Sus scrofa: one gene and its partners. The protein of the gene in region 1 purifies or fractionates together with the protein of each later gene. This does not show direct contact. Links are inferred from orthologs where the notes say so. Each region holds a gene or a part of one and is shown in the gene's direction. Other genes may lie near its edges.

Region 1 (5,500 bases):
AAGGTCCATGCCATGGTGGAGAATAAAGCAGGGAAGGAGGAGAGGAAGTGCCTAGGTTGGGGAAATGTTGCAGTTTAAAATCTGAGAAGGCCTTGTGGAGGCCTTTAAATAAATACTTGCAAAACAGGAGGGAAAATTGTTGAAGTTATACCCGCCTGGGCTCCACTTCTAGCAAATCAGAGTTCACATCTGTTTTTAGCAAACTTTGCAGGTGAGTCAGTGCAAGGTTTGGAAGACACTACTCCAGGGCCTCTTTCTGCACACAGTGAGCACCTCTTGCTTTCAGGAAGTCAGGGAAGAAGTAGGAGTGAAGGCTTGGAAAGTGGCCCCAAGGTGGTGATGGTGCAGCTGTGGAAGAAGATAGAAATGGAGTCTCAGGCGTTCCCGTTGGGGTGCAGTAAAAATGAATCCAACTAGTATCCATGAGGATGCAGGTTCGATCCTGGCCTGGTTCTGTGGGTCGGGGATCTGGCATTGCCCTGAGCTGTGGTGTAGGTTGCAGATGCAGCCTGGGTCCCGTGTTGCTGTGGCTGTGGTGTAGGCTGGCAGCTACAGCTCAAATTCAACCCCTAGCCTGGGAAATTCCATATGCTTCAGGTGCAGTCCTAAAATGCAAATAAAAAGAAAAAAAAAAAGTAAAGAAAAGAAAGAAAGAAAGAAATAGAGTCGCTCTTGCTAAGAAAGCTCTCTACAATGGAACTAAAAGGTCACTGGGGGAGTGTGAATTATGTAAGTCTCAGCCTGGATAAAATCTGACCTTTTGACCACTTATTGTCCTAATGAAGGCATCCAGAAGATCTGCCAGAAACTCAAGATACTTATCAGACCCCTACCTTACAATAACTCGTGACAGCCTATCTACTTATCAGACCCTTACTCGGAAGTAACTCGTGATTCCTTAAGGACAAACATTTCCTTTCTCGTAGTAGCAGAGAACAGCCTCATGACTTTTGCCTTTTGTAAGCCCCTGACTCTTTCTTTTCCCTGGAACACTCTTGATTTTACCAGAATCTGTCTCCCAACAATTCTTAAGATAGCCCTCCAATAAAGCTCTTTGTTCTTTGCAGCCCTGATACTGATTATTGTTTAATAGAGCTCACAAGAAATGGAAAAATTCAGGAGTTCCCATGGTGGCACAGCAGGTTAAGGATCCATTGCTGTCTCCGCACGGCCCAGGTCACTCCTGAGGCTCGGTTCCATCCCTGGCCGGCATGGTGGGTTAAGGATCCAGCATTGCTGAAGCTGTGGGGTAGGTTGCAAATTTCAGGGCGATAAGCCCATCTGGGGGTCCAAGCTGGGGTTCCCCAATACCAAGGCCTGGTCAGTAATATTGACCTGGGGGTCTTACAGGGTGAGCTAATGAAGGCTCAACTGACTTTTCTCATTAGGCTGGGAGTTTGAGGGCCATCTTCCTCTGCTGGCCTGGGAGAATGGGTGGCACCCAGGAACACGTGCTAGAGGAAAGTTCTTTAGTAAAATCTGGTGGAAGAAAGGCACTTGGCTCTACTGTTTAACACTCAGGTGATTTTCCTCAAGGCGCCGCCCTGCACCTGAATATTTTTACTTGTTGAATAGAGATACTGCCCTTGATCACCTCAAAGGGTGCTGGAGGGATTATTTGTAGTTTTGAAAATTATGAATACTCAGGTATTGGGTGTGTTGGTTCAGCCTCTCTGTAAACTTCAGGCAGAGATTACATATATCGCACTTTTCATTATAAACCATTTATTAGCACCTGACCCTCTGTGTGCCTGTTTTCTCATCTACCCAGTGGAGACAATACACCTTATCTTGCTTCCCACACAAAGGTGTTATGCCCTTCACATGAGTTAGCAACTGTGACGATCCTCTGTACATTGCAAAGAGCTGCACAAATGGAAGGAATTGGGGTAATCTCTACTGCTAGTAGTAGTGCTTGGCCCTTAACTTATGTATTTGGAACAGATGTAGGCAGTTTCTAAGGACTAAAAGTTTTCACTGTACCACAGGAGCACCCTTAGCAGAATTTAAGATCTGGAGATTTCTTCCAGAAGTCAAACAAAAAAGGTTTAGAAAGATTTGGTTTAAACTGGAGGTTAGCATATCCAAGAACAATGCGGCGGGCCCTTTAAGTAGGGGGATGGAAGGGCGGAGCCGTCGTCAGGGACGCGAGTAGGCCGCTGGGTTTCCAGGAAGTGACGCCAAGCGGCCGTGGAGATGGAGGACGTGCTGGACCTTGGCGAGGAGCGGCGTCGCGGCTCGGCCTTCTCCGTGAGGACCGACTCGGGGGCTTGGGGCCAGCAATTGGCGGGTGGGCAGGAATGACCCCGCCGGCCCCGGCTTCCCTGAGGTGCCTCGGCCCAGCCTGTCCCGGGAGGCGGGAGCTGGCGGGCCCTGAGTCTTGCGGCGGTGGGGTGGGTGAGGCCGGGGAGGAGGTGGCCTCCCTCGTCCCGCCCCTGGGGCAGCAGCTCCTCCGCTGCTGGGCTAGGATTTGCTTTCTTTAAAATCTTCAAAAAGTGGAAAACAGATTCCGCCTCTGCCGGCCTCTGGGACCGGTGGGACATTTCCCAGGTTCTCTCCGCTCCCTGGAGGTCCAGACGCCAACTCCCATAGAATGGGGAGATCTGAGGGTGACGGACTGGAGGGGCCCTGGTCAGGGTCGCACTTGCATTCCTCCTCGAGCTTTACCCTTTAGACTTGTCATGCCAGAGGTTTTTGTGAAAACCGTACGATTTTATTCAGGGAAGGAAAGAAGGCAGGTAGACAGAAGGCAGGTAGACAGGGAGGGCCTTTCTTGCCACTAATTCCCTTGGGGCGGTAGGGGGGCATTACCTCAGTTTTTATAGTTAAGGAAATCAAGAAGCAGATTTATAACGTGGGGGAAAGTCTAGGTGCTGGGGGTGGGGGTGGAGCCCAGAGGTCAGAGGGAGTATAAAGCTGTTGCTTGGGTTAAAAGAAGTTAACCTCCTGGAACCTCAATTTCCTTATCTCTAGAATGGAGATGCTGATACCGACTTTAAGGAGTTGCGGGAAAGATGAAATGAGATGTGTGTGGAAAGCATTTAATACAGTGGCTGGCATGTGCTGAGATATTAGAAGAGGTTAGCTGCTATTGATTTACTCAAGGTTATATGTACATAACAGCTATATTCAAGACCCAAGTTCAGTGTGTGTGTATGTGTATGTGTGTTTTAACTCGTCACAGCCCCATCAAGCCTTTTTACCTTTAAAATTATTGAAGATCGCAGTCACTAACAGATTGGCCCACGGGGAGTTCCCGTCGTGGCTCAGTGGTTAATGAATCCGACTAGGAACCATGAAGTTTCGGGTTGGGGATCCGGGGTTGCAGTGGCTCTGGCGTAGGCCGGCAGCTACAGCTCCGATTCGACCCCAAGCCTGGGAACCTCCATATGCCGCGGGAGTGGCCCAAGTAACGGGAAAAAAAAAAAAAAAAAAAAGATTGGCTCACGGGCAGGTCTTTAGTTTTGCTGTGGAGTCTCTATGAGTTCTGAAGGGCCCCATCTGATGTCCTCTAAGTTACTAGAGGAGAGAGATGAGGAACAGGAGCAAATTGCTCTAGGGCGAAGCGGATTGCTTGACTGATCAAGGAGAATATTAGGTCATCAGACCTTTCGGATCCGTGCACTTTTTTAGTACCTGGGGGTTATAAATGTTCTCATTCATTCATTCTTTCAACAGATAGTTATTGAGCCCCATCTGTGTATCCAGCATTGATTGTCTTTAGGTGCTGAAGATACAAGAGTGACAAAACTTAAGTCCCTGCCCTTATGGGGCTCATGTTCCAGTGAGAGGACAGGCAGTAAACAGACTCTACTTTGAAATATATAAAACCAGAGAGTAGTTTTTCTCAGTCATTCCAGTGGATTTATACAGGGTCTTTGGAATTTTTAAAAACCTTAGACTGTGTGACAGTTATTGGAGAAACCATCTATAAACAGCATTGAGAGGCAAGATCCTTGACTTTTTGTTGGAGCACAGTCACTGCATGTTGTATGCCAGGATCACATACCCAATGTTATGGTAAATGGAAAAGGGCAGCCATAGACAACCCCACAGACAAAGTGGGATTGTCTACCTTGGGAAGAAAATGAGCTGCTTATTGTCAGAAAGGCTGTTTCTATCATCCCTGAAACCAAAATGATTACTTAGAATTTGACATGTAAACATTACATAAGGGTGTTTATGCAGCTCTCAATGTATTGGTGCAGTCAGTTCTTAGAACATCTTAAAACTGAAATTCCAGCAGGGTGTAGAGGAAAGAACTCAGGGTTAGAAGGCAGATGATTCTGCTCTTGGATTTATCTGTTACTTAGTTGCTTTCCTGGATCTCAGTTTCCTCATTTGTAAAAGGCCTCAGTCTCAGTCTCTCTTATTGTGAAGTCCAATGAGATCCAAAAGTGCTTACATTAATGCTGTTTTTTTTTTAAAGCAAAAAATGAGAAATATAAACATTTCAACACCCACTAGTCTGCCTCAATACAGTTTTGTGTATACGCTTGGAGGCCTTTGAGACAAAGCCTGCACCCCAGGAGAGCTTTGGGAAACACCTGCAAAGGGTTCATTTCATGACTCAGAATTTGGCATGTTCTGATTTCCAAAGCTGATGTCTCAAAATTCTTGTCAGTACTTTTTCTTTAATGTCTGTAAGTGCAAATCCAATTAGTGCACACGTCAAAGCAACTGCTATCTGTATTTCTCCGGTTTCAGTTCCCAGAGAATTGCTGCCCCCTCCCCAAAGCCTTTTTGATAACAATTTTCATGCCGAGCTGCAGCTTTGAGGGTAAGCCTTCCTCAACTCCCGCATAGGAAGATGGGGGCCTTGACCGTACTCTTCCCGAGCTGTGGCATGAGGTCGGTGCCCCTTCTAGGGGAGTTTCTAGCTGCTTTTCATGGGCAGGAAAGGTCTGTGGCTGTCAACAGAAAACACGGTGGTCCCCCATGGATTTCCTGTTTTACCATCTAGAACGGACCTCGGGTGCTTTGCTGTAAGGATTGGGGCATTTTCTGAGTTTTCAGTCAAGTTGCTCAAATCCCTTCCTCCCCATGTCACCGTGAAGCCCATGCTTGCTTACCTTTGCAGAATTGTCCTCCTCATAGTGGCTCAGAGACATCTGGGTCAGCAGTGCCCCTCATCTCTCCTTACAGGGGCCCAGGATGGGGCGCCGAGCTCAACAGGAGTCCGCTCAAGCCGAGAACCATCTCAGTGGCAAGACGGCCTCTTCCCCTCTGACTGCAGAGGTGAGTGTTAAAAAGCTCTGAAGAAATGCACTCTAATTGTTAGCGGTTACTCAATGAGCAAGGATTTGGTCTCTCATGTGTTTTTTTTTCTCTTTCTTCTCTTTACTGTCAGCCTCCCTCCTGTCTTGATTGGGGAATTCACTTGCCCGGCATTGGGCCTGTTAGCAAGAAACGGAAGAGGAACTTTTTTCTTTTGATGCCAGAGTCGTGGCTGTGTATCGCTTTATAGTCTCAGGGAAGACGTTTTGTACGTTAGCTGAAG
Region 2 (4,821 bases), on another chromosome or scaffold:
CACATGCAGTTGCAAGTCCATGAGTTGCTCAAACTTGCCCTGATTAAAACAACTTATCAGAGTTCCCGTTGTGGCTCAGCAGTAGTGAACCCAACTAGTATCCAAGAGGATGCTGGTTCAATTCCTGGCCCCACTCAGTGGGTCAAGGAGCCAGCGTTGCCCTGAGCTGTGGTGTAGGTCCCAGACGTGGCTCAGATCCAGAGTTGCTGTGGCCGTCTGTGGTGTAGGCCGGCAGCTACAGCTCCGATTCGACCCCTAGCCTGGGAACCTTCATTTGCCGCAGGAGTGGCCCTAGAAAAGGCAAAAAGACACACACACACACACACACAAAAAAAAAAATCTGCCCCAGCCTCCTCTTCTCCCCTCCCTTAATCACATGGTGCACATGCCCAAACATGCACACCTATACCTACACCCACACACACCTACCCCGACACATACATACACTACACCTACACACACACCGGCATCCACACACATACATACACGCACCTGCACATACACATACTCTGCACCTACACACACACCTGCGCACACACACCCCAGATCCTTTTCCGCTCTGATACTCCTTGACTCCGGCCCTCGCGTGGAGCCACGTATGACAGAACCCCTTCCTGACTGCTCTCCACTGGGAGACCCATGACAAGCTAACCCATTCTCCACACACTTTCAAAAATGTGAGTCTGATCCACTTATTTCCCTGCCAAAGATCTTTCAGTGACTTCCCATTGCCTTTAGGAAGAAACCCCCACTTCTTTGGGGACCTGCATGGCACACCGCTCACTTGATTTAATAGCAGCCTCGGCCGTCCCCTCCACTCCTCTCTGTTCACCAGCTGCTGGAACTCAGTATGTTTCATGATCTCCTACCTTGGCACGTGCCGTGTTCTGGTCCTGGACCGCCCCTCCCTGTCTCTGTTCGTGGGGGTAATGCCTCACCCTCTGCCAGCAGCAGAGCCCTCTGCTGCTGCAGGAAGGCTTCCCCGAGCCCGGCCACTGGCACTGTGGGTTGGGGCCTTTTTGAAGTGTTGCCTCGGAGCCCGGATCCAGCATGCAGGGTGGTTTAGAGCCTCTTACCTCTTACCACTCGTGACTCAGGCTGGTCTTTTGAGGCCTCACTTTGATCACCTATAAAGGAGAAATAATAATAACTAGTAGATAGGGTTGTTAGGGTGATCCAATGAGAGAATGTGTGCAAAGCGCTTAGCACAAAGGTTCACATGTTGTAGGCCCTCTGTCACCTCTGCCATACCCTGTCATAGTCATTTGTTCACTTACCTGTCTCTTCCACCTTCCCCAAGTACAACCACCTAAAGGACAGTGACTGCTTTTGACTTTACATCTTGGGTCCAGGCCCAGTTCCTGGCACCAGATGATGCTCAGTGAGTGTGTTGGATGGAAATTTGCATCAGTGAACAGACAGGGAAGGGTAGTATAGTCATTAATGTAGGGGTTCCATTTATGGTTATGTTTTATTTTATTTCATTTTATTATTTGCTTTTTAGGGCCATACCCGCGGCATATGGAGGTTCCCAGGGTAGAGGTTGAATCAGAGCTATAGCTGCCAGCCACAGCAGTGCAGGATCCGAGCTGTGTCTGTGACCCACACCACAGCCCATGGCAACGCTGGATCCTTAACCCACTGAGCGAGGCCAGGGATTGAACCCGCAACCTCAGGGTTCCTAGTCAGATTCTTTTCCACTGTGCCACAAGGGGAACTCCTGTGGTTACATTTTACACCAGAGGTCAGCAAGCTTTTCATGTTATGGTCCAAAGGGTGTTTCAGGCTTTAAGGTCAATCACAGCTACTCAGGTCAGCTGTTGTAGTGCAAGACCAGCCGTGAAGAGGGGATGGGTGAGTGGCTGTGTTCCACTCAGGCTTTACTTCCAGAAACAAGCAGCTGACTAGATTTGGCCCACAGGCTATAATTGGTTGATCTTCGTTTCAAATTTCCAAATCTGTGGAATAGAGTACTAATTTTATGAGACTTATATGAGAACAGGAGTAATTTTTTTCTCTGTGTGACGTAAACCAACAAATAAATGAGTAAATAGAATTGGTTGCTGATGAGGTAAGGCGGTTACACAGAGTGGATTTCAGTAGTTACGAGAAATTCAAGAAAAAAACATCTGCACAAAAAAGAAAGCTTAGGTAGTTTTTCATAACCTGGAAGTGACAATTAAAAATTAAGGAATGTTTTTGCAAAATTTATCTAGAGCACAACATTACAATTGTACATAATCTGAAAATTGCCTAAGAGGGGGCAAAATAGAGCTCCCTGACTAAGCTTATATACTCATATGCTAGGTTTCCTGATGCTTGGGAAGTCTGCAAGATTCTGAATGATCATGCCGCCTGGAATGAGTTGGCCCGAGCTTGTCTATACCACATGGAAGTAGAGTTTGCCATCCGCGTGTATCGGACAATCGGAAACGTTGGCATGGTCATGTCCTTGGAACAGATAAAGGTAAACAGCATCGTATGGGAATTATCAGATGAGCATTCAAATGGTATTTAGCCAGATATTTAAAATCTCTGCAGTTCATCTGACGTACCTCCTAGATGGGTTCCCTAATGGACCACTGCCCCTGCCTCCTAAGCCCAGTGCTTAAATAAAAACCAAACCGTGGTATGTCTTCTCATTAAGACTGCTCTTGTTTGCAGGGAATAGAGGACTGTCATCTCTTGGCAGGACATCTTGCCATGTTTACTAGTGATTTCAACCTGGCTCAGGACCTGTACTTGGCATCCAGCTGCCCCGTGGCCGCCCTGGAGGTATGGCAGCAAATGCGGGGAGGGACGTGCGAAGAGGTCTCCCCTTTTCTGGAGTTCAGATCTCTCTGCGCCAAACACCATGTGCCTCCCTCCTTTTCGAATTCAGACTGTCACTTTCTCTGTTTTCCAAAGGGGAAAACTGAGGTGCATTTGTGTTTTATTTATTGTGTAAAATTCTCTTGTGCATGAAGAGAGGCCTGTGTATCACTACCAGTTTCCTCGGGGTGAGGGATGCAGGAGAAGGACCCGACCGAGGGGAGGACCTCGCACAGGCAGGGAAGAGGAGCACCGAGGCGGGGCGCAGGGGTGGGGTGCGGTAGCAGATCAGAACGTGGACTTCAGCATTGGGCATGTCTGGGTTCAAATCCCAAATCCCAACTCGGTGTAGCCTCGGATGAGTGAGTCCATCTTTCTGTGCTCTGGATCCCATTTAAAGGAGGGGTAACAAGGAGTTCCTGTTGTGGCTCAGTGGAAATGGATCTGACTGGCATCCATAAGGGATGCAGGTTCGATCCCTGACCTCCCTCAGTGGGTTAAGGATCCGGCACTGCCGTGAGCTATGGTGTGGGTCGCAGACAGGGCTCGGATCTGGCATTACTGTGGCTCTGGCGTCCAGCTCCGTTGGACCCCTAGCCTGGGAACCTCCACATGCAGCGGGTGTGGCCTTAAAAGATTAAAAAGTAAATAAATAAATAAAGGAGGGGTAACAGTATCTAACCCACAAGGTTGTTGTGAGGATTTCAGAATGAGATGCGCTCTCTTAGATCAGCTCCTGATGGCCTGTGAAGACCCAGCGATGGTGGCCGTGGTCACTCACCTTGTTCCACCTCGGGCAGCATTTCCACAGCTGCCTAGAGGAAAGCGTGTGTGCTCCTCACCTCACGTTTCTCTTTTTTAAATTGTTCTATGGCAGATTTTCATTTTTAAATTTTAAGGGAACTAAATGCATTTTAAGAAGAAAGTTGAGATGATGTTCCAGTATCATTTGAGGGGGCGCCCTGGAATTTTCTGAGCTGGCCGGGTGCACACAGGAGGAACACGGCTGCCCTGGGGGAGGGAGACTTGAGGGGAATCAGGTCCCCTTAGCCCTTCTGCACTGGCTGTGGACACTTGCCACGTGCTGCTGGATTTGTAAGGGACTTGAGGGGACAGCTTCACAGCGGGAGAGGTGATTGGACCCTGTCGTTCCTTGAACCTCACTTTGAAGGCCGACAAGTTAGGTGGGTAAAGAGGTCAGAGGCAAAGCCCGACTGGCAGCCCTGCCACACACACAAACAAGGTGACCTCATGTACAGAACGAGGCTCTTTACCTCAGTGTCTGGATCTCTAAAATGGACACAAGAACAGCTCATTACAAAAGGCCTGGTTGTGAAAAGCCAGTAGGCTCCTGTCTTAGAACAGACTCTGGCAGAAACTAGCACTGGTAAAACGTTAACCAGTGTTCATTCTTCGCAAAGGGTGACTCAATCCGGGAGTGAAGCCCCAAAGACTAATGGTTTACTCTTTAATGGTGAGTTAGTCTGTGGAATTGTGTACCAGACACAGATAAAAGACCTCAGGAGCCAAGGAGAAAGACACAACCCCATTTTATTTATTTTGCCCTTATTTGTCTCACGATATAGGTTCAGGTTTTTTCAGAAAATTCTATCAACTCCTAAAGACTTTCCCACCTTTTTTTAATGCTCTCCCCACTAAGAGGAAATAATAATTTTAATTTAGTTGATGGAATTAATTCAATTTAATTTTTTCCCATGGAGGAAAATTACTGAAGAGAATAAGATTTTGTTTAGGATTGAGTTGGGGAGGGCCATGAACCCCTGGAAGAGTCAAGATGTTTTTCTCCCCAAGACCCAATTTTCACCCCTTCGGGACTCTGTCACCTACATTGGGAATGTATGCCATAGTAAGTTACTGTCTTTGGAAAGATCAAGTTTAATTTTTAAACAAAAAGTGTCTGTAATCACTTTTATTAAAACCAGCACTATAGAGTGACTGTGCAAAAATAATTTGCTATTTGAAATTAACATTTTTCTCTTCCTAATAGAT
Region 3 (4,821 bases), on another chromosome or scaffold:
AAAACAAGTGTAACTAATGGAGAGAACAATGGATTATTGATTCTGTTTGTTGTGATAAAATATACATAGCTCAACAGTTACTGTTCTAACCATTTTAAAGTATGTAGTTCCATGGCATTAAGTACATTCACATTGTTGTAAAAATTAGCAGCAGCATCTCCAAAACTCTTTCATCCTCCCAGACAGACTCATCCCCGTTAGACACTAACCCCTCATCCCCCTTCCCAGCCCCTGGCAACCTCTGGACTACTTTCTCCATATATTTGACCCTTCTGGGTGTCTCATAAAAGTGAAATCATGTGGTATTTGTCCTTTTGTGTCAGGCTTAATTCACTAAGCTAAATATCTTCATTCATTACGATTCATTAATGTCACAGCCTGTGTCAGAATTTCATTCCTTTTTTTTAAGACTGAAAATATTCCATTGTGTGTATAGACCACAGTTTATTCAACAGTTGATAGATAGTTGGGTTGTTTCTACATTTTGAAAGTTGTGAGTAATGCTGCTGTGAACATTGGTTGTGTAAGTATCTGTTAGAGTCTCTGCTTTCTGTTCCTTTGGGTATATACCCAGAAGTGGACTTGCTGGATTATATGATAATTCTGTATTTTTTTATATATTGTTTCCACAGTGGCTGCATAATTTTACGTTGCCACCAGCAGTGCACAGAGGTTTCAGTGTCTCCACATCCTTACTAATACTTATTTTCTAGTGTTTTTTTTTTTTTTTAAATAATGGTCATCCTGGAAGTGTGTGTTGTGGCTCAGTGGTAACTGCGGTGAGCTGTGGTTTAGGTCACAGATGCAGCTCGGATCTGGCATTGTTGTGGCTGTGGTGTAGGCCGGCAGCTGCAGCTCCAATTTGACCCGTAGGCTAGAAATTTGTGTATGCTGCAAGTATGGCCGTAAAAAAGAAAAAAAGTCATCTCAGTGCTGGCAAAGTGGCATCTTATTGTGATTTGTGATTTTAATTTCCCCCGAAGACTAGTGATCTTAAGCATCTTTTCATGTGCTTATTGGCCATTTATGTATCTTCTTTGGAGAAATGCCTATTCAAGTTCTTTACCCATTTTTGAGCTGGCTTTGTTTTCTTGTTGAGTTGTAGGAGTTTATTTAATCTGGATATTAACCCTTTATTAGATGATTGCAGATGTTTTCTCTCAGACATAATGTTTCAAAGAGCTAAATTAGGACAGCAACAGTAGGAAGGGGGAAACAAGGGATGGATCTAGGTGAGATTATGAAGAAAGGATTGTCAAAATTTGGATAAAGTAGCCATGTTTTAAGTCAGAATAGCTTGAAATGTGTTTTTTTTTTTTTTTTTTTTTTTTTTTTTTTGCTTTCTGGGGCTATGGATGTGGCCTATGGATGTTCCCAGGCTAGGGGTCGAATCAGAGCTGCAGCTGCCAGTCTACACCACAGCTCACGGCAACACTGGATCCTTAACCCACTGAGCAAGGCCAGGGATTGGACCTGCGTCCTCACGGATGCTAGTCAGACTCATTAGCCACTGAGCCATGATGGGAACTCCGCTTGGAAATGTTTTAAGCAAGAAAGTTAAAGTTACCTGTGGTTCAGAGGTTTCTGGCCCTTTTTGACGTTTCTCCTTTTCTGCTAGGTATCTCAGGGAGTTTGAACTTTGATGAGGAGGACACTGACGGGGAGGAAGAAGAAGGGAAAAAATTAAGTTCTCATTCACCAAATTCAGAGGCAGAGAGACCCAGTTCTGCATCCAGCCAGAAACCAACCACAGTATGTAGTTCCAACTTTTGCCTTTGGAACGAATGTTAACTGTTTGCTAACATATCTTTGGAATTTCAGTGCCATTACTGAATGAGGGTGGCTTCCAAGATTTAAGCTGGAACTTACACTGAAAGCTCCCAACTCCCTAATTTCTTGTGTCTTGAGCAGCTACTGTGATGCTGTACCCCATTTTAGTACTTTGCTCCTTCATCACTCTAAATATTCATATACTTATTTAGCTTCTCAGAGTTTTCCCTTATTTTGTCAGAAGGCTGAAGACATGTGGGTCAATCAAGAAGTTATTTTGTTCTTTAAGTGTTTCTCAAAGAGAATGTGAGGTTTTCTGACCCAGGCTTCTGTTGCTCACATGTGGCTGTTCTTTCAGGATACAGCAGCTTCTGGGACGGCAGCCCAGCAAACTGATAACCAGCTGGGAGAAATAGACAACTTGGAGGGCTTCGCATACAGCCCTGCCCCTCGAGGTGTCACAGTCAAGTGTCGCATCACCAGGGATAAAAAAGGAATGGACCGGGGTCTCTTCCCCACCTACTATATGCACTTGGAAAAGGATGAAAATCGGAAGGTGCGTGAAGTGATTCTTAAGACAGATCTTGTGGTGAAGGGAGGGTGCTGTGGGATGGGTTTTTTTTTTTTTTTTTTTTTTTTTTTGTTTCGCTTTTTAGGGCTACACCCGAGGCATATGGAGGTTCCTGGGCTAGGGGTCTAATTAGAGCTACAGCTGCCGGCCTATACCACAGCCACAGCAGTGCCAGATCCGAGCCACATCTGTGACCTATACCACAGCTCATGGCAACACCAGATCCTTAACCCACTGAGCGAGGCCAGGGATCGAACCCACAACCTCATGGTTCCTAGTCGGATTCTTTCTGCTGCGCCATGACGGGGACACCCCTGTGGGCCAGGTTGTTGATGGGTCTTAGGAGTGGGGCAGTGGGGGGTATACACCATGTCAAGTGCTGGGTCTTCCCTATATCTTCAAAGAGTTCATGGTCTAATAGTCAGATCTATCCCCACCTCAAAGAAGAAGAGTTTTATCCAGAATGTAAAAAGATGGAAGAGAGTATTTGAGTGTAATTATTTTTAGCTTCGTCCCTTTTTTGGGGTGAGGGGTGTTCCAGCGTGCTCTTTGGTTTTTTTTATTACAGTGCAACATGACATCAGGAAGAAGCAGAGCGAGTTTTAGGGAATTGGAGGAATTGGAAAGAGAGTGAAATAGCTTGTTTCTCACCCTAGAAATTCCAGTTTACTTTATATGTGAATTTGAGGCAATTTAATACTTGCCAGTCAACAAGCATCTTGTATTAATACCAGGTCTAAGTGGATGATTTTAAGAGCCTGGAGATGAAATGATAGCAGGAGTCAGTGTTGTTATAACCACTGTTTATTGAGTGTTTACAGTGAGTCGGGCGTGTGCCAAATGCTCTATGTATGTTAGCACCTAGAAGCCTTATGACAGCCTTCCTCCTTAAGATAAGAGTTGTTAGTCCTGCTTTATGGGTGAAATTGCTGGGACTTCAGCAGTGACATACCTTCTCAGTCACACTGAGAAGTGTCAGTGCCAGATTCAAACTCTGATTCCAAAGTGTTGTCACCTCCCCAGTTGCTGCCTCTCCTGCTTCCCTGTTATTGTCCTAGTCTAATAGGGTTTGGGAAAGATACACAGTATTCCCACCTCTGAAGTCACAGAAGTTTAGAAGCACACCATACAAAATGCAGAAAGAAGCAGGAAAGCAGTTGCAGTGGGGGACGGGAAGCCCATGTCCAGGTCCCACCTCTCCCACAGGTGGAAAGACTCTTACTCAGGAAATTGCAATGAAGCTTTTTCAGAAAAATTATTGGAGGTTTTAGGGATGAAGTTGTAAATAATTATATGGAGAATCAAGCTAGTAAATTGAGAGAAGTTGTGCAGTAGGGAACCCCGATAGTGAATTCTGAGAAGCATTATGAGGGTTGGAAAAAGGGGTAAGGACTCTAGAGACTGGTCTCCAAGAAAAGCCCAAAGGGCAGGCACGCTGATGCTGTGATGGGGCAGCGAGACCCCCAGAGCCTGGGCCTGGAGACAGTGGCCTCCACAATAGCATCTGAGGGGCAAGGCCACAGAGCTGTCAGAGGCAAGGCCAGGGACAAGGAGCAGATGCCCCTCACCAAGCCAGGCTCCCTGGTCAGGGACATGAAGGTCAAGTCTCTGGAGGAGACCCATCCCTCCAGGAATCTGAGATGACTGACTTCTCCCTGGGACGTCCCACAAGGAGGAGATTTGGAAGATTATACTAGAGCAAAGCAGGCGTGCTGGCCCGCAGACCAGCGTCAAGGTGTTTGTCCAGCTGTGGCCACCTCATAGTTTTTCATCTTTTTTTTAGGGCTGCACCCAAGACATATGGAGGTTACCAGGCTAGGGGTAGAATTGGAGCTGCAGCTGCCAGCCTACACCAGAGCCACAGGTCAACACTGGATCCTTAACCCAACTGAATGAGGCCAGGGATTGAACCCTCGTCCTCATGGATACTACTTGGGTTTGTTACCACTGAGCCACAAGGGGGACTCCCTCAGGGTTTTTCAGCAAGGAAAATTAAAGTGAATGAAACCTGTTTTTGGTTGTTTTTGTTTTGTTTTTCTAAGGCCCAGAGATGGATTGCTTGGTACCTGATAGGTACTTGTTGAATACTTGCTGCCTGAATAGGTAGGACAAACATGGCTGTTTCTCTTGAGTTAGTTTTTTACTAAACATTTTTTTCTTCTTGTAGGTATTTCTTCTTGCAGGTAGAAAGCGGAAAAAGAGCAAAACGTCCAACTACCTTATTTCCACTGATCCAACAGATTTATCTCGTGAAGGGGAGAGTTACATTGGCAAGCTCAGGTAAGAGCAGCTGATGTGATGCCCTGTTCTTTCTGATACCTTGATTCATAGTTTTAGAACCATCCATACCGTCTTTACTGTGAACACGTGTTGGTGTCGCCTATGTAAAAAGAAGTTAAAAGGAAATCGAAGGCCCTTCTTGGTTTTAATGCTACATCGCCGAGAAAGCGATGGGAACACTTCGGCCTTTGGCAGCGGGC
Region 4 (4,821 bases), on another chromosome or scaffold:
CGGGACCCCGAGATCATGAAGAACATCATCAGCTTCTACACCAGGGGCCGCGCCCCCGAGCTCCTGGCCGGCTTCTACGACGCCTGCGCCCAGGTAGACGCGCCCCCTCCTGGGCCCTGAGTGGGGTGCGGCGTGTGGTCCGGGGGTCCTGATGCCTCCTCGCGCAGGTGGAGGTCGATGAGTACCAGAACTACGACAAGGCCCACGGGGCGCTGACCGAGGCCTACAAGTGCCTGGCCAAGGCCAAGGCCCGGAGCCCCCTGGACCACGAGGCCCGGCTGGCGCAGCTGCAGAGCAGGATGACGCTGGTGAAGCGCTTCATGCAAGCCCGCAGGTGCGTCGTCGCCGTCGCTGGGACGCTCTGAGGACGTCCTCAGACAGCTGGACGGCGGCGGGGCAGGGGGAGGGGGGAGGGCAGCCCCGAGGCCGCGCGCCTGCCTGGGCTCTCCGGGCTCCCTCAGAGCCTGGGGCCACTCTCAGAGAGCACGGAGGACAAGGGCCGTGGTTGGGTCGGGAGGCGGGGTCTGGGGGCCGGGCCTGCCCGGGCGCGAGCGGGGCTCGGGCAGGTGCTTCTGGAGGGCAGCGCGCAGGCCGTTTTCAGAGAGGGCCCCCCTGTTTAACCCGACACCCTGCAGCGTGTCGGGGCCCTGGGGCAGCAGAGCGCAGCTCCCGCCTCAACCGCTCAGAGTGCTCTCCTTGTCTGAGGATGGGCGTTTGAAAGAAGAACACGGATGGCAAAGCGGGGCTCCGTGAAGGGTGCTTCCCCGCTGGGATGCGTGGGTTCAGGAGCAGCCGCAGAGCCTGGGCTGCGGGAGGGAGGGGGCAGGGGAACTGGCGGCAGAGACCGCGGGAGGGCCAGAGGGCAGGCCTGCCCCGCCGTCCTGCCTCCACCACCAGCCCCGGACCGAGTCCAAAGCCCTGTTCCCAGCAGGGCCCACACGCACCCCACCCACTGGGCAGGCGGACCACGCATCGTGTCGCCACGCTGGCCTTTGCCCCCGCCTGAGTGTCCCCACACAGTGACAGCCCTGTCCACGCCCTAGCTCCTGCCCCGCTGTCCCCTCTGGCCTGCCTGACGACCCCTGCAGTCCCGAGTCTGGTGTGGCGGTGCCAGCACCCACACTGTGACCAAGCAGTGCGTTGTTTTTGTTTTTGTTTTGTCTTTTTGCCATTTCTTGGGCCGCTCCCGCGGCATATGGAGGTTCCCAGGCTAGGGGTCCAATCAGAGCTGTAGAAGCTGGCCTTCACCACAGCCACAGCAACGCGGGATCCAACCTACAGCACAGCTCACAGCAACGCTGGATGCCCAACCCACTGAGCAAGGCCAGGGATTGAACCCGCAACCTCATGATTCCTAGTTGGATTCCTTAGCCACTGCGCCACGACGGGAACTCCTTTTTTTTTTTTTTTTTTTTTTTTTTTTTTTTTTTTGGCGTTGTTCTTAAGTTAGTGAATTTGTGAGTTGACTGGTTAACGAATTGCCTCAGCTTCAGGGAATCCCCTCCCCGAGAGCCCGCTCTGCCCTCCGACCCGCAGCCCGCGTGCCGGGTGGGGCTCAGGCGTCTTTGCTCCGCAGGATGTACGCCGAGGATCCCGAGGAGGCACTCAGGCAGGGCCAGCTGCTCCTGGAGGAGCTGGGCCCCGACAGCACGGTTCGCCTCGGGGACGTGTGCGGCTTCCTGGTGGAGGGCCACGTGCAGGCGGGGGACCTGCGCACGGTGAGGCTGCGGGCAGCGAGGACCTGTGCACGGCGGGGGGGGGGGGGCTCCACAGGTGCCGCTTTTGTGTTGTTTCCACTTTTGCGAATCTTTTGAGCCTCTGCCAGCGGGTCGAGGACGGCTGGACTCCATCTCCGCTCTGCGTTCACTGCGCTAAAATGGGCTATTCCGGCTGAGATGGGAGCCACGGGATGCAACCAGCTATGGGATGCAGCCCGCAGGGGCGCCCCTGGGTCTTCTTGGAGGCAGAAACCTCTTAGGCTTTCCCTTACAGCCCCGTGGGCTCTCTGGTATCTTCTCCATGGTCTTGGAACACCTCGGTGCTCGTCCGGAAAATACCGGTTCCCTGGTCTGCAGATGCTAGCACGCTTCGGGTTGCTCCAAGCTCCTTGGAAGGGTCTGTGCGTCAGGCAGATGCGGCACCTGTGGGGGCCAGGCATGGTGGCAGGTGTGCGGCGGCGTTGCTGTCGTTTCATTCAGGGCTTCCTTCTGCGGTGTCTGCTCTCATGTTGATCGGGTCCGCATTTTCCATTCCAGCGTCCCCTCTGCCTGCCTGCCTGCCTGTCTTTCTCTACTCTGCTTTCTCTCTCTCTCTCTCTTTTTTTTTTTTTTTTTTTTTTGCTTTTTAAGGCCTCACCCGTGGCATGTGGAGGTTTCCAGGCTAGGGGTCGAGTCAGAGCTGCAATTGCCAGCCTACACCACAGCCACAGCAACACCAGATCCTTAACCCACCAAGAGAGGCCAGGGATCGAACCCAAATCCTCATGGTTCCTAGTGAGATTCATTTCCACTGTGCCACAATGGGAACTCCTTTTAGTTTTTATTTTTATTTGCTAGAACATCCTTTTTGTTCATTTATTAAAAACCTATTTTGGGAGTTCCCATTATGGTGCAGCAGGATCAGCAGCATCTCTGCAGCCCCGGGACACAGGTTCAATCCTCGGCCCGGCGCAGTGGGCTAGAGGACTTGGCGTTGCCACAGCTGTGGCGTAGGCTGCAACTATGGCTGAGATCTGACCCCTGGCCCAAAAACTCCATATGCCACAGAAGGGCCGAAAAAGAAAAAAAATGTATATGTATTGGAGTTTCCTTGTAGCACAGCAGGTTAAGGATCTGGTGTTGTCACTGCAGGTGCTCCAGTCAGGGCTGCGACGAGGGTTCAGTCCCTGGCCTGGGAACGTCCACATGCCACAGGCACAACCAAAAAACCCCCCATATTTTCCTGTATACACTCGATCATAGTTATAATTGCTGCTGTCAAGTTTTTTGCTACTAATTCAAACGTCTGGTTCATATGGAGCTAGTCGCCATTATTTGTCTTTTCTCTTGAGCATAGGTCAGGTTCTCCTATTTCTTTTTATGTCTGATGACCTCTCTGGTGTGCGAGTCCCTGTGGGTGGCTCACAGAGAGCCCGGGTTCCGTGACGTTCCCCCAGGAGTACTTCCCCTTCTTTCTTTCATTAGGCAGCCATCCGGGTTCAGCTCAGTCTCAGTGCGCCCTCCTGCCCCGTGTGAGCAGCCGCTGCGGTCTCCGCTGTCTTTTTGCTCAGGTCCGGCCTCTTGGAGGCACACACGGACTGTGGGTCACGGGGGATCGGGGCAGAGCTCATCCTTGGGAACTGCTGCTTCCTCACACCCCAGCTGAGACGGCGGATGCACTTCTGAGTCTGGTTCTTGCAGCCAGAAATGTGTGGGTTTCCATGTACCTTTTTTTTTTCCTTTCTCCCTACCCCATGGCACATGGAGCTCCCAGGCCAGGGATCAGATCCGAGCAACAGTTGCAACCTACACTGCAGCTGCAGCAACACTAGATCCTTAACCCACAGGAGGTGGAACCTTCGTCCCTGCGCTGCAGAGGCGCTGTCAGTCCCGTTGCACTGCAGCAGGAGCTCTTCTGTGTAGTTTTTCAGCTTCCCACGGTGACCCTGACAGGTGTCTCCTGAGGCAAAAGTTGCGACAAGCATTAAACTCAGCCCAGACACCAGTTCCCCTAGTCTACCTGCCCGTAGTTGTTTTTCAGAACCTTTTATGTTTTTTTTGTTGTTGTTTTTCTTTTTGGCGTCGCACTTGCGGCATATGGTGGTTCCCAGTCTAGGAGTCAAATCAGAGCTGTAGCCGCCACAGCCACAGCCGCATCTGTAACCTGCACCACAGTTCACGGCAGCACTGGATCCTTCACCCACTGAGCGAGGCCAGGGATCAAACCTTCATCCTCATGGGTACTGGTCAGATTTGTTAACCCCTGAGCCACGGGGGGTCTCCAGAGCCTTTTATGTTTTGCCCAGTTTATCACTGTTGTGGGGGAGCTGGTCTGAGGACCCCGCCTTCACCAGAAGACTGTCCTTGTTCTTTTTAATATGTGTTTGTTTGTTTGTTTTTGGAGTGGAGTGATTTGTAGTGTTCTGTTGGTTTCGGGTGTACAGCCAAGTGATTCAGACACACACACACACATATATATACATTCATTCTTTTTCAGAATCTTTTCCCATAGAGATTATCACAGAACATTGAGTAGCGTTCCTGTGCCATGTGGGTCTTTGCCGGTCATCTGGCGTATACACAGCAGTGTGTGTACAGTAATCCCAGCCTCCTAATTTATCCTTCCTCCACCCCTACACTTCTCTCTTGGTAACCATAAGTATTTTTTATCAAAATCTGTGAGCATGTTTCTGTTTTGTAAATAAGTTCACTTGGGCCACATTTTAGATTCCACATATAGGTGATATCATATGCTATTTGTCTTTCTCTCTCTGACTGACTTCACTTAGTATGAGTCTCTAGTTCCGTCCACGTTGCTGCACATGGCGTTAGTGTGTTCTTTTTCATGGCTGAGTAGTATTCCATTGCATGTACCACATCCTCCTAATCCATTCCTCTGTCAATGGACATCCAGATGGCTTCCTTGTTTTGGCTCTTGTGAATAGTGCTGCTATGAACATACGGGTACATGTGTCTATTTTGAGGCGGAGCTATTTAGGGCCGCACCCACAGCATATGAAAATTCCCAGGATAGGGGTCTAATTGGAGCTATAGCTGCTGGCCCACGCCACAGCCACAGCCATGCGAGCAAGATCTGAGCTACATCTGTGACCTACACCACAGC

The links. The genes of interacting proteins can lie anywhere in the genome.
Region 2: the proteins of IFT43 (region 1) and WDR19 purify together in Homo sapiens (affinity purification with mass spectrometry; 3 studies listed by BioGRID and IntAct, counting the BioPlex papers as one, with this or other methods). This does not show direct contact. The link is inferred for Sus scrofa from reciprocal best matches to the Homo sapiens genes IFT43 and WDR19.
Region 3: the proteins of IFT43 (region 1) and TULP3 purify together in Homo sapiens (affinity purification with mass spectrometry; 5 studies listed by BioGRID and IntAct, counting the BioPlex papers as one, with this or other methods). This does not show direct contact. The link is inferred for Sus scrofa from reciprocal best matches to the Homo sapiens genes IFT43 and TULP3.
Region 4: the proteins of IFT43 (region 1) and IFT140 purify together in Homo sapiens (affinity purification with mass spectrometry; 3 studies listed by BioGRID and IntAct, counting the BioPlex papers as one, with this or other methods). This does not show direct contact. The link is inferred for Sus scrofa from reciprocal best matches to the Homo sapiens genes IFT43 and IFT140.

Annotation. Positions count from the first base shown.
Region 1 is NC_010449.5:99,156,721-99,162,220, forward strand, and holds the start of IFT43 (intraflagellar transport protein 43 homolog), read left to right. Parts: upstream 1-2,121; 5' UTR 2,122-2,196; coding exon 2,197-2,250; exon of another isoform or gene 2,251-2,329; intron 2,330-2,973; exon of another isoform or gene 2,974-3,080; intron 3,081-5,072; exon of another isoform or gene 5,073-5,145; coding exon 5,146-5,238; exon of another isoform or gene 5,239-5,500. UniProt on the Homo sapiens protein: As a component of IFT complex A (IFT-A), a complex required for retrograde ciliary transport and entry into cilia of G protein-coupled receptors (GPCRs), it is involved in ciliogenesis.
Region 2 is NC_010450.4:30,505,064-30,509,884, forward strand, and holds part of WDR19 (WD repeat-containing protein 19), read left to right. Parts: intron 1-2,307; coding exon 2,308-2,467; intron 2,468-2,664; coding exon 2,665-2,775; intron 2,776-4,819; coding exon 4,820-4,821. UniProt on the Homo sapiens protein: As component of the IFT complex A (IFT-A), a complex required for retrograde ciliary transport and entry into cilia of G protein-coupled receptors (GPCRs), it is involved in cilia function and/or assembly.
Region 3 is NC_010447.5:67,206,498-67,211,318, reverse strand, and holds part of TULP3 (tubby-related protein 3), read left to right. Parts: intron 1-1,618; coding exon 1,619-1,752; intron 1,753-2,128; coding exon 2,129-2,326; intron 2,327-4,508; coding exon 4,509-4,621; intron 4,622-4,821. UniProt on the Homo sapiens protein: Negative regulator of the Shh signaling transduction pathway: recruited to primary cilia via association with the IFT complex A (IFT-A) and is required for recruitment of G protein-coupled receptor GPR161 to cilia, a promoter of PKA-dependent basal repression machinery in Shh signaling.
Region 4 is NC_010445.4:40,364,328-40,369,148, forward strand, and holds part of IFT140 (intraflagellar transport protein 140 homolog), read left to right. Parts: coding exon 1-93; intron 94-167; coding exon 168-334; intron 335-1,576; coding exon 1,577-1,718; intron 1,719-4,821. UniProt on the Homo sapiens protein: Component of the IFT complex A (IFT-A), a complex required for retrograde ciliary transport and entry into cilia of G protein-coupled receptors (GPCRs).